Drosophila melanogaster: one gene and its partner. The protein of the gene in region 2 purifies or fractionates together with the protein of the main gene of each other region. This does not show direct contact. Each region holds a gene or a part of one and is shown on either strand. Other genes may lie near its edges. The genes, in order: CG3107 and ApepP.

The links.
Region 1: the proteins of ApepP (region 2) and CG3107 purify together in Drosophila melanogaster (affinity purification with mass spectrometry, with the first as the bait; one large-scale study listed by BioGRID). This does not show direct contact.

What each region holds. Positions count from the first base shown.
Region 1 is NT_033778.4:5,088,546-5,095,616, forward strand, and holds CG3107 (uncharacterized protein), read left to right. Parts: upstream 1-2,035; 5' UTR 2,036-2,197; intron 2,198-2,458; exon of another isoform or gene 2,459-3,255; intron 3,256-3,326; 5' UTR 3,327-3,353; coding exon 3,354-3,931; intron 3,932-3,981; coding exon 3,982-6,508; 3' UTR 6,509-6,545; downstream 6,546-7,071. UniProt on the Drosophila melanogaster protein: ATP-independent protease that degrades mitochondrial transit peptides after their cleavage. Also degrades other unstructured peptides.
Region 2 is NT_033779.5:16,907,631-16,912,616, forward strand, and holds ApepP (aminopeptidase P), read right to left. Parts: upstream 2,789-4,986; 5' UTR 2,679-2,788; exon of another isoform or gene 2,555-2,678; 5' UTR 2,528-2,554; coding exon 686-2,527; 3' UTR 599-685; downstream 1-598. Other genes in the region: tweek, read left to right, coding at 1-493, 3,042-4,010, 4,074-4,986. UniProt on the Drosophila melanogaster protein: Catalyzes the removal of a penultimate prolyl residue from the N-termini of peptides, such as Arg-Pro-Pro.

The DNA of each region.
Region 1 (7,071 bases), on a different chromosome or scaffold from region 2:
CCAAAAGTGTGGGCGTGGCAGTTTTGGGCGGTTTTAGGGTCTTAGAGTGGGCGTGGCACGTTTTCCCTCAAATCGATGGAAATTTACAAGACTAATAAAATTATGAAAAAATATCCAACAATTTTTCAAAGGCGGGGGTGGTAGTTTTGTTTTTTGCAGATCGATAGAAATTGACAAAACTAATAAATTGTGAAAAAATATCAACACATGCGTCTATGCCTCTGGAACCTTTATGCTGAGTCTCAACCTTCTAGCTTTTAAAGTTCCTGAGATCTCGACGTTCACATGGACAGTAGGACAGACGGACATGGCCAGATCGACCCGGCTATTGATTCTGATCAAGAAAATATATACTTCGTAACGCATCCTTTTCCAGTTACATACTTTTCATCCAACGGGCGTACCCTTTATTGGCTGCGGAGAATCTGGAACATCGACAATAATGACAATTTAAGCTCTCACCAGTTGGCAAAGAATCCTGTACATGACGGTCTTTATCTTCATCTGTATCTTAATGTCGCTACTAAATCGTATACTTTCAAATTGCTATTCGCAATTCTTTATTCAATGATTTATGATCGTTCAAAAATAAAACATAATTCTGGGAGTTTTAAAATTGTTAAAAAATTCCAATTCACGTTTGATATGCTGTGCTGGATTAGGACATATTGCGTCCTCTCAAGATGTCACATCGGTATTTCTAATTTTTTGACATGTGCGTCAAAATATCGTCGTTGGTGGAATAGTAACATGAGAACGTTTTTTTTATTTAATTAACTTTTCGCTATTTATAAGTGAATTTCAAAAAATTTTAAAATTTCAAAAGCGCACATACATATGTAAAGAAAAGAAAGATCTAACTATCTATTTACGAGGGCTCAGAAAAGCATTTAGAATAAGCATCTAAATGATCCGTGTTGGCTTTCTGAGCTGAAGGCAATACCTTAACTTGTTGTTTGTAAACATGCGAACTTTGAAGACACATTTAAACTTAATTGCATATCAGCTGTGCTGCACTATCTCCGGTTACGTTCTCTCTCTCTCTCTCTCTCTTCCTAGTGCTCTCGCACCTTACCGTTCTGCTGTTTGCTCTGTAATTAAGTCGCTCATTAACATTCGCTTTCGTAACCTATGTATGCGCGATTCGATGCCAAGCTTAACCTAAAGAAATGAATTATAACCGTTCGAAATCTCTACTATAAAACGTGTATTCATTTCTTGAAAATATCTAAAAATTAATAGTAATAATAGCCACAATTTGACAAAACATTAAAACATTAAAAATCTACAACTTTTAGTATCATTTCTGAGAGACACTGCACTGGAAACCATTCGCAATATCGGATGACATTTACGCTAAAGAATTGGCAATATTACAAAACATTACAAACATTGGCAAACATTACCAATATTCTGTGGCTAAGGGCAATACAGAGTGGACTAGACTTCAAAAATTCAGTTCCAGTGTGTGAATCGATGGCATCGTTTCTGAAGCAGCGATGCAGGACGCTGGAGAATATGGAGTTCGCATAGGCAAGCTATGCGCCATGCATTCACAAGATGTAACAGATATGTAGTTAGATTTTACATAGATTGTATATAGATAGATCTTTCTTTTCTTAACATTTTTTGAATTTACCTAAATATAACGATAAAATATACATATGTAAGTTAAGACTATCACCCAGTATACAATCTGCCGAGAGAAATGCAAGAGCCTAAAGCTTTCAAGATAAGAGTGATGCCTTGACTTAAGATGTAGGGATAGCTTAAGAGATAATGATTGTGTGAGTTAGTTGATTTGCCTTGACTTAAGATGTTGGGATTGCTTAAGAGATAATGATTGTGTGAGTTAGTTAATTTCTGGATATTAATAATATTGAATACTCATTTAGCGCAGACCGCGCTTTTAAATGAAATTGTTAGCATTATATTTTTCATTCAAAGCATTTCATAATTTGTATGAAAACGTCCTAGTGTACCATTTTCCACCGTTCCCCCATCGCAGCTAAGTCATCGACGATAGCTTGACTCAATTATAAGTCGAATAAAATGTAATAATTTAGATTTTAATTGTCTTTTTTTTCTATACGCCGGTGAGTAAAATTATTTAGGTCCATTTCTGTTTGAATCAAAAATTAATGCCAATAAGGCATTGTTATGCCCGAAACACTACGTATACGTGCATATTTATCATGTATGTATATTATTAAGCAGTAATATACACGCTTACATACGTACATACATGCAATTGCATGAGAAACACTAAATTGTGGCATTCAGGGTCAAGATGATTGTCACAGTTCAGTTATTTTTAAAGTTTTTGCCGATTAGATCTATGGAATGATTTTTCATCAAGGCCGTTTTTAAGCTTTATCCAAATTCAGCCCAAGTTTATTGACCCATGTCGCCAATAACATTCTAACGCTCACAAACCAAACGAAACTGCCACTTCCACACTTTTGAAAATTGTTTTGATATTCTCTCGTTATTTCATTAGTGTTGTAAATTTCTATAGTGCTAAAAAACTTTGCTGTTGCCGAACAAGTCGATGGTTTGATTGGCAATGTTGCAAGTTGCGCAGTCTTGTTGAAACCAAATGTTTTCTAGACTATTCTCACGCACTTTTAAAAACAAAAATTCGTCGAGCATAGCTCGTTAGCATTTCCCATTGACGGCTCTATGATACCACCACCCCATAAACCGCACCAAATTGTGCATTTCTCTAGGTGCATCGATTGCTCATGGTATGCTTGTGGATTGGTGTCGGCCTATATGCGGCCGGTAAAATTGCTGATTGTGTTGAAGAATTCTCAGCGAAAACGATGGCCGGTTGGCTTCAGATCCTAAACCATCTGAATTTTGTGCGCTTTGAGACCCAAATCTTAGCGAAGATCCTTCACAATTTTGTTGGGCAAAGGTGTAACTCCTGCGCGCGGTGACGAATAGATGAGTTCCGTTCTTCTGTTACACTGGCCTCAACGGCCCCCATATGTATTTTCTACAGTGCGCACCCTGCGAAGTCTAGTCTGAATTGAAGGCCGATAATGAGCACCATTAAACTAGCGAAGCAAACGGTGTACAAATGACCACTGATTTTCGAAATAAAATTCAACGATTTGGTATCGCTGCTCAGCTATTATAGCTATTCATCAGCTAACATCAAAGGTAGCCCAACTGAACCCCATTGAAAAAAAAACCCCTTATAAAAAGGGTCGGATGTGGCTTTCTTCGGCAGTTACTAATAATTAAATTGTAAATACAAACACATGTATGATTCTTTGATATACAAATTTATACTTCTTTATATATTCTTTTGTATTTAGCGATTCAGCACGGATGGTGCTGAGTTCATGTTAAAAGGTGGAATGTTATCGCGGTGGAAGATGTGGTCTCCACAATACAAAATCTTGAGAAATCACCTTATAAATTTCAAGTCGGTGTCCACATATAAGAACATTTCTGGCGTCAATACCAAGCAGCCCAAATCTCCACGACAATTTGGTTGCATGCCACATGTAACTAAGAAAAGAAAATACAAGTATGAAGAGGGAAAGACATACCATGGCTTCCAATGCGAACGTGTGGAACACATTTCTGAATTTGAACTTACGTCCTATACTTTTCGATATGAGCGCACGGGTACAGAATTATGGCATATCGACCGAAATGATTCAAACAACGTATTTTCCATTAATTTTCGAACCACGCCCTTTGATTCTACTGGTCTACCTCATATTTTAGAGCATTTATCGTTGTGCGGTTCACAAAAATATCCTGTCAGGGACCCTTTCTTCAAAATGCTTAACCGCTCGGTAGCGACATTTATGAATGCAATGACTGGTCCAGATTATACTATTTATCCTTTTTCGACGATGAATGAGATAGATTTTAGGAATTTGCAACATATTTATTTAGATGCCGTATTCAGGTAAGATGTAAATAATTGACGATATCTCGTAATAATATCTTCCTTTCTAGACCAAACCTGGCGTATTTCGATTTTCTTCAAGAGGGCTGGAGGCTAGAAAACAAAGATATATTCGATAAACAATCGAAGCTTGTAATCAAAGGAGTTGTTTATAACGAAATGAAAGGTGCGTTTTCTGAAAACGCGCAGGTATTTAGTCAGAATTTACTCAATAATATTTTTCCTGATCACACATATCGACATGTGTCTGGCGGAAATCCATTGGAAATACCCAAGTTAGCATACAACGATTTAGTTGAATTCCACAAAAAATACTATCATCCAAGTAATGCTCGCATATATTCCTACGGATTATTTGATGCAAGTAAAACCCTCGCACTTCTCGACGAGGAGTATTTATCAGATCAAAGCTGGGTTGACAACTCTTACAGTTTAATACGTCAGCAAGAGCGTTGGACTCAGCCTCGTCTTGTACATATATCCAGTAGACTAGATAACATGGGTACAACAATTGATCGACAGAACCAAATTGCTATTGCACTGCTGATGTGTGATGCAACCAATATACAAGAAAGTTTTGAATTACACGTGCTATCTGAGGTACTTATTCGTGGGCCTAACTCCCCTTTTTACAAAAACCTTATAGAACCAAATTTTTCCGGTGGATACAATCAAACCACTGGATATTCATCGGATACTAAGGACACAACCTTCGTCGTTGGATTACAAGACCTTCGAGTTGAAGACTTCAAAAAATGCATTGAAATTTTTGACAAAACCATTATTAATTCTATGAATGACGGGTTTGATTCCCAGCATGTTGAAAGTGTTCTGCACAATCTTGAGTTGTCTTTAAAGCACCAGAATCCGAACTTCGGAAATACTTTGCTTTTTAATTCCACAGCATTATGGAATCATGATGGCGATGTAGTCAGTAATCTCCGCGTATCAGATATGATATCAGGGCTTCGGGAAAGCATAAGCCAGAATAAAAAATATTTCCAAGAGAAAATAGAGAAATATTTCGCCAATAACAATCATAGACTAACATTAACTATGTCACCTGATGAGGCATATGAGGATAAATTCAAACAGGCCGAGTTGGAGTTGGTAGAACAAAAAGTAAAACTTTTGGATGAAGTTAAGATTGAAAAAATATATGAGAGAGGATTAATATTGGATTCATATCAGAAGGCTGAGTCAAATACTGATCTTTTACCTTGTCTGACAATGAATGATGTAAGAGATCCACCAAAATGGCCTAAGCTATTCATACAAAATGTTCAAAATGTTCGGACCCAGATTTGCAAGGTTCCGACCAATGAAATTACTTATTTTAAGTGCATGTTTAATATAACAGGACTAAGTCATGAAGAAACTCAGCTTATGCCGCTTTTTTGCAATGTTATTAGTGCAATGGGCACCACAAACTATAATTATCGGGAGTTCGATAAGCACATCCTTTTAAAAACCGGTGGATTTGATTTTAAGTTACACTTAATTGAAGATGTTAGGGATTCAAAAAGTTACAGTCTAAGCGTAATGATAAACACACATGCACTTAATAACAATGTTCCAGAGATGTTTGCCTTGTGCCAAGAGTTGATTAAAAATGTTAGGTTTGATGACTCGGAGCGACTTAAAATGCTTATAGAAAATTATATATCATATATATCTGTGGGAGTGGCTAGTTCTGGTCATTTATATGCTATGTTGGGAGCAACATCACAAGTGTGTGATGCTGGTAAACTCAAATCGCTACTATATGGGGTAGATCATATAGACTTTATGAAAAATTTTGTACATTCTACAAGCACGGTAGATATATGTGATAAATTGTCGACAATTGCATCAAAAGTTTTTAACAAGGATAATATGCGTGGCGCCATTAACACAACACAATCTTATGAGCCATCGGCTATAAGTAATTACGAAAAATTTTTGGAGAGCCTGCCAACATTTGGGAAAACACAAACAAGTCGAAATATCCATTATTTGGACCCTAGCTGTCAACAATACGTGATGAACATACCAGTTAATTACTGTGCTAAAGCTTTGTTCACAGTCCCATATCTCCACCAAGACCATCCAACACTGCGAGTTTTGGCAAAATTGCTATCAGCCAAATATCTATTGCCTGTTATTCGCGAGAAGAATGGCGCTTACGGAGCTGGTGCGAAAATCAGCTCAGACGGGATTTTCAGTTTTTATAGTTATCGAGATCCAAATTCAACTAAAACGCTTAACGCTTTTGATGAAACTTATAAATGGTTACGTGCAAATCAAAATGTAATTGACCAACAGTCTCTTTTTGAGTCGAAGCTTGGTGTGTTGCAGCAATTAGACACTCCAATAGCACCTGGAAATATTGGCATCGATTATTTCCTTTATGAAGTGTCACAAGAGGATTTTGAGAGCTATCGCTCCCGAATGCTCTCTGTAACTATTGATGATCTGCAATGCGCTATAGAAAATTATTTTGGAAAAGAGTCCATGCATTATGGAAAATGCATTTTGGGTCCAGTCAATGCAAATTTGGAGCTTGAAACTAGTCACAAATGGATAATAAATAATTAACTAGTTGTAAATGTAATAAATTTATAAAATTCAATTTATTTTATTGGTTTATTTCTTTCATATATGTCCAAAGGACTTATGGGATTAATCAGGAAATTTAATATAAAAGAGATCCCTTGTTTTTTAATCATATACCTTTGAAAAAACGTTGATTTATATGCGCTAAGTGTCACATGTATCGTTTCATATATAGACTCTCGGGGTTTCCTAATACTTCCCATGACTAGTAAACGGTAACCTTTTCACCATTTCAGTCAGTCAAATTCTCAATTACACTCTCATCGCTGTCACCGAAGTCCAAATGTAGGAAGTTGGAACCAATAAATATTATTTAAGCTAAGGGTAATAATACTACCTTGGAATATTTCCCTGCATTCTTTGAAATTGGATTTTATCAAAGTAACATCTTCGATTTATTTAGATACTCAGTCAGACTTAATTAATTTGATTAAATACACAGTTGGATTCAAAAGTTAGCTACGCTCCATTACCGAAATTCGACTGCCAGGCCAGTGTTTTGCCGGCCGCTTAGCCAAATCCCACGGTGTCATCGCATTCCGCTG
Region 2 (4,986 bases):
TCCGGTGGCCCTACATGGAATGATGACTCGAAGCTCTAAGCAGTTGTCGTCCACTCTACAGGAGCTGCGTGTAAAGCGTAACTCTGGTCGGTCCACGATGCGTTCGCATACCGCCGAGGAGCCTGAGTCTCCGTTCCATGCCCGCAACTCAGTTGGAGCCAGCAGTGGAACTGGAGTGGCCAGCGAAATGCGGGAGCGCACTGTTTCCGGCGGAGCTGGTGCCCAGCAGCAGCCGCAACAGGCGGCTCGCCGGGCAGCACACATGGCGCAATCCAAGACAGGCACAGCACAGCACCAGAATGGATTGCTTCAGCCCCTGGTCATGCAGTTCAATGTGCTCTTGCAGAGTCTGTCCATCAATGCTGCGCTACTTCCTTCGCTGCAGGCCCAGTATCGCATGAATCATGTTAGTTCCATGGGAGTAACTGGGCAGAGGGCAAAGTTTGTTATCGACCTACCCACGCACACGCTCAGCTTTAATACCAAAATTCAGGTGAGCTTTACACATTTATAAACTTTTTTTTTTTACATAATATTTGTTCAGCGTACAAATTTAAGATAAGCCCTTTTAAAAGGTATATAAAAGCATTTTTTTTTTAATATTTTAGTCTTGAGAAAAGAGTAAGTGTATGCATGGGAAAGAATATTAGTTAAAGATGACCGAAATAACGGGTTAAAAATGCAATTAAATGGGCTGAACTTCCTTTTTGAGCCAGGACAGAGTAAATTCGTCTCCTTCGCGAGATAGGATTGGGGAAAGAGTGTCCCAGACTTGTTGATGATAGCTGTTGAGCAGCTTTACTTCCGCATCCGATAGAAGTTCCTTTTTAATCATTTTCGTTTGCTTCGGGCACATGGTGATGGTTTTGAATGTGAGGGCGCCTCGGTTGGAGAAATTGTGTGCCACCTGGCCTGGCACAATTTGAACAATATCCTCGACACGGATGCCAAACTCTCCGTCCTGGTAGAAACCAGGCTCATTGGAAATAAACATGTTCGCCTGGAGACCAGGATCGTCGGGCATCAGTCGAATTCCTACGCCCATGGGACCTTCGTGGACATTTAGGAAGTGACCTACTCCATGGCCGGTTCCGTGTCCGTAGTCCAAACCGACGTCCCACAGGGCCTTCCTCGCTAGAGTGTCAAGAACCTGTCCCTTAACCTTAGCTGGGAATACGGTGGAGCCGAAGCTCAGTTGGCCCTTTAAAACGCGAGTGTAGGCTTCCTTCTGAAACTCAGTGGGTTCACCGAAGTGAAGGGTCCTCGTCACATCCGTAGTACCATCCAAGTATTGAGCTCCGGAATCACACAGATAAATCTCTTTGTCATTTATCTTCCTGTTGGTTTCCTTCTTTGGGTGATAGTGAATAACAGAGCCGTTGGGTCCCGAAGCACTAATTGTGGTGAAGCTAAGGCCCATGTACTTATCCTTTGTCGACCGGAAGGACTCGAGTTTATCGGCACCAGACATTTCATCGACTTCCGCACCCTTATTCACTTGATCCTCAAGCCAGGCGAAATACTGACACAAAGCGACTCCATCGCGAATGTGGCTGTTGATGAAGCCTGCGATCTCGACATCGTTCTTAATGGCCTTCAGCACACAAATCGGCGTTACCTCCTGAATTCTACGTGACTTGGGTATCAAAGCAGTTAGATAGTAGCTGCTGGTGGGTGCTATCCAGATCTTTGACTCCCTGGTCGACACAATCTTACTGATTTCAATGCCAATTGAGGCGTAAGGCAAAACGCTTATCTGCACATTGTTCTCCTTTTGATGCTGCACAAAATCAGTGGGCAATTTGCCAGAGTCCACAAAGAGCAGTAGTTCATCGTTGGTCACAATCAAGTAGGAGAAGAAGACGGGGTTGAAGTCAATGTCCGAGCCGCGTAGGTTCAAGAACCAAGCGATTTCATCGAGAGCACTGACCACCAGGGCATCAGCATTCTTCTCCTTCAACTGCTGGCGCACCACGTCCCATTTTTTGGCGATAGTTACGCCAGAATGTTCTAGTTTCAGGGTTATAATCTTGTTTGAGGTTTGCGGTGGCTGATCCTCACCCCAGACCTCGTCGATGAGGTTGCCTTCGATGGGCACCAGCTGGCATTCCGCGGAGCTTAGTTCCGTTTCGATGGGTTTCCATACGCGGAACGACAACAGGCGAGGATCCACGCCCACAAAGCTGCCCTTGGGCAGATTCTTCGCCAGCCAGGCGCCAATCGACGGGGTGGCGCTCAGACCATCCCGCATTAGAACCCAATTGGAGTCCAGCTGCTTCTCCGCCTGCTGATAGTAACGACCGTCGGTCCACAGCAGTGCGGTCTCCGTCGTTATCACCGCCGTGCCAGCGGATCCATCGAAACCACTCACAAAGGAGCGTCGCTCGTCATGCTGGCACTGGTACTCCGACTGATGGGCGTCGTCCGAGGGCACAATGTATGCCGATATGCCGCAGGAGTCGCCCACCTGGGCGCGGAGCATTAGCTCCCTCAACCTGGTCAGAATTTGGGTGGTGCTCCTCTTCATTGTGGTTCCTCAATGGCAGCAAAATAACTGAGCGAAAAAAAAAACACAGAATTTGTAGTCCAGTTGGGGCGATAAGATAATCAACCGTAATCGAGTTTCTTGTATCCCATAAATACATAAATAATCGGGCGAATATAAGTGTCACACTTACAAAGGCTGTCAAACTATTGTTTAAACTACAGGGTGCAAATATTTTATAATCTTTTTGCACTGACACATTCAATTTTGCAATTAATAGCACGTCAAAAATGCTGAACTATATTATTTCATATCGCCTCCAAGCTTTCAGTATTTTTTAGCTTTTGCCTAAAAGGGTAACACTAAAAGTGTAGCGGGAACAATTTAAATATTTCATTAAGAAACTTATCCCATATTAATGTTTTTAATGTATAATTAAAAGGAGTATAACTCTTATAAAGAAGCTCAGCAACAGTATTTGAAAAGAATTCAACTAAGATCTTAAAAAATGTTGTAGATGTAATTAAATGTGTTTTTTCTTTGTAATTCCTTTTAGAATGAGATGAACCTTCCATCGGAAGCTTGTATTGGCCTGCCACCTGTTCACGTTCTGGCGGAATACATTCCAGACCACCGCCAGGATCACACGGAAAATGTCGAGGGCATTGTCCTGCGCCAAGGTGGCTACGTGAACGCCAGCGCCGAGATCGGCGAGTTCGAGCGCTGCCTGACCACAGATCTCCTAAACCATCTGGTCTTTGTGCAGAAGGTGTTTATGCGCGAAATCAACGAGGTTCTGCAGAAAGTTTACGGAGGAGAGAAACCTGTGCCCCTGTGGACGGAAGAGAGTGGCGATAGTTCCGGAGCAGTACAGGAGTCCTCGCTTAAGCGCATCCTCTTCTCAATCAACATTTCCATGAAACGCATCCAATTGACGGCTACTACACCCTGCTCCTCGGCTGTTCGATTCGAGACCGGAATCCTGGAGCTGCAGCTGTCTAACCGTGTGAAGAACCTAGGCGATATGAGCAATCGTAAGCTCTTCTTTAAGGCTCACATAGATTTCAACTTGTCCCTGGGTCAGATTATACGCAATGTGATTTTCGACGAGGCCGAGCCGGAGTTCCAGCAGTACGCCTTTTTCCACACTACCATTAACCTGAGGAATGCTTTCCAAGACGAACTGCTCAACGAAGACAAGGAGTTGATTCTGCTGACCCTGAAGAGACCACTGGTCTACGTTCAGCCAATTGCCGTGGACAAGGCGATCCTCGTGTGGCTTAACTATAAGAATGCTTACGAGTACTGGGCGGAGAAGCGTGCGAATCTCTGCCACGAGCACGCTCAGCACAGTCTCCTTAGTCAGTATTCGGGACAGCATCAGAACCAAAATATGCAGAATCCACAAGTGTTCGATCGCGTGGCTTTTGGCCAGATTGCAGGCTCAAATTTGTCTACGCTCTTCCTGCAACTCACCGTGGAGGACATGGGCATTTGCTTGCCCCTGAAACAGGTCAACACTACGGTATGTATCCAATTAAATCTGTAATATAAAGATTATTTGAACCACATAAATTTTCTTTTGCAGACCTTTGGCTCCCGTTCATACCAAGACTTTGATGCCAAGGGCGCGGTTGTAATCACGCTGGAGAACACGATTATCTCAGCTTGCAACTCGGGAGCTTTAGTGTCTAAGGGAAAGTTCCAGGGTCTGTGCCTGCGATTTGCCGATGATTTTGAAACAAATCTAGATGACTGGAAGCCCAACAGCGCTGAGCCCATTATGAACGTTTGCGTTGTCTCCGAGGGAACCTTCGAGGTGTGTTCCCGCACTACAGCAGCTAAGAAGGGTGAGAACGCCAAGTGGCTGTTGAATGTCAAGTGGCAAATGGAGGGCGTGGATATTCACCTGGATGTGAATATTGGCAAGCAGCTGAGTTCTCTTGGCCACACTCTTACCATGCTCACGGGATTCGAAGAGGATGAGACCCAAATGGAATCACCGGACAGCGATGAAGGAGATCAGAGCTGCAGAGATACGTTTGTGCGGCGCAGAGGAGACTTCGACAATTTGCCAGCTTTTGTATTTGATCCCACAATCGATTCCAAGAAGCGTTCCTTCATGATGGAGAAGGAGATGGCCGAACAGCTGAAGATTATCAATGATCTGCGTACTCTCGGAGCATCACATAATACCGTGGCCCACGAGGAAAGACGACTCCAAGAGCTACAAGCCATTTGCTACAAGTACTTCCGTAGAGATATGATTCAGAAGTGGAAAAGACCATCGCTGAGAAGGTCCCTGAAGACCTACGGTCGCTCGCATTCTTACATTGGATCTGGATCTTCAGTGAGTGGAGTTGGCGTTCCGCAAACACTGGACAATGTTAGCTATACTGGCAGAAGACTGGACACAATTGCGTCCAATGATGAGATATCTAGCTTGCAAAGCACACCGGCCTCCTGTCATTCCCGCAGTGCTTCCTTAAAACATACAACAG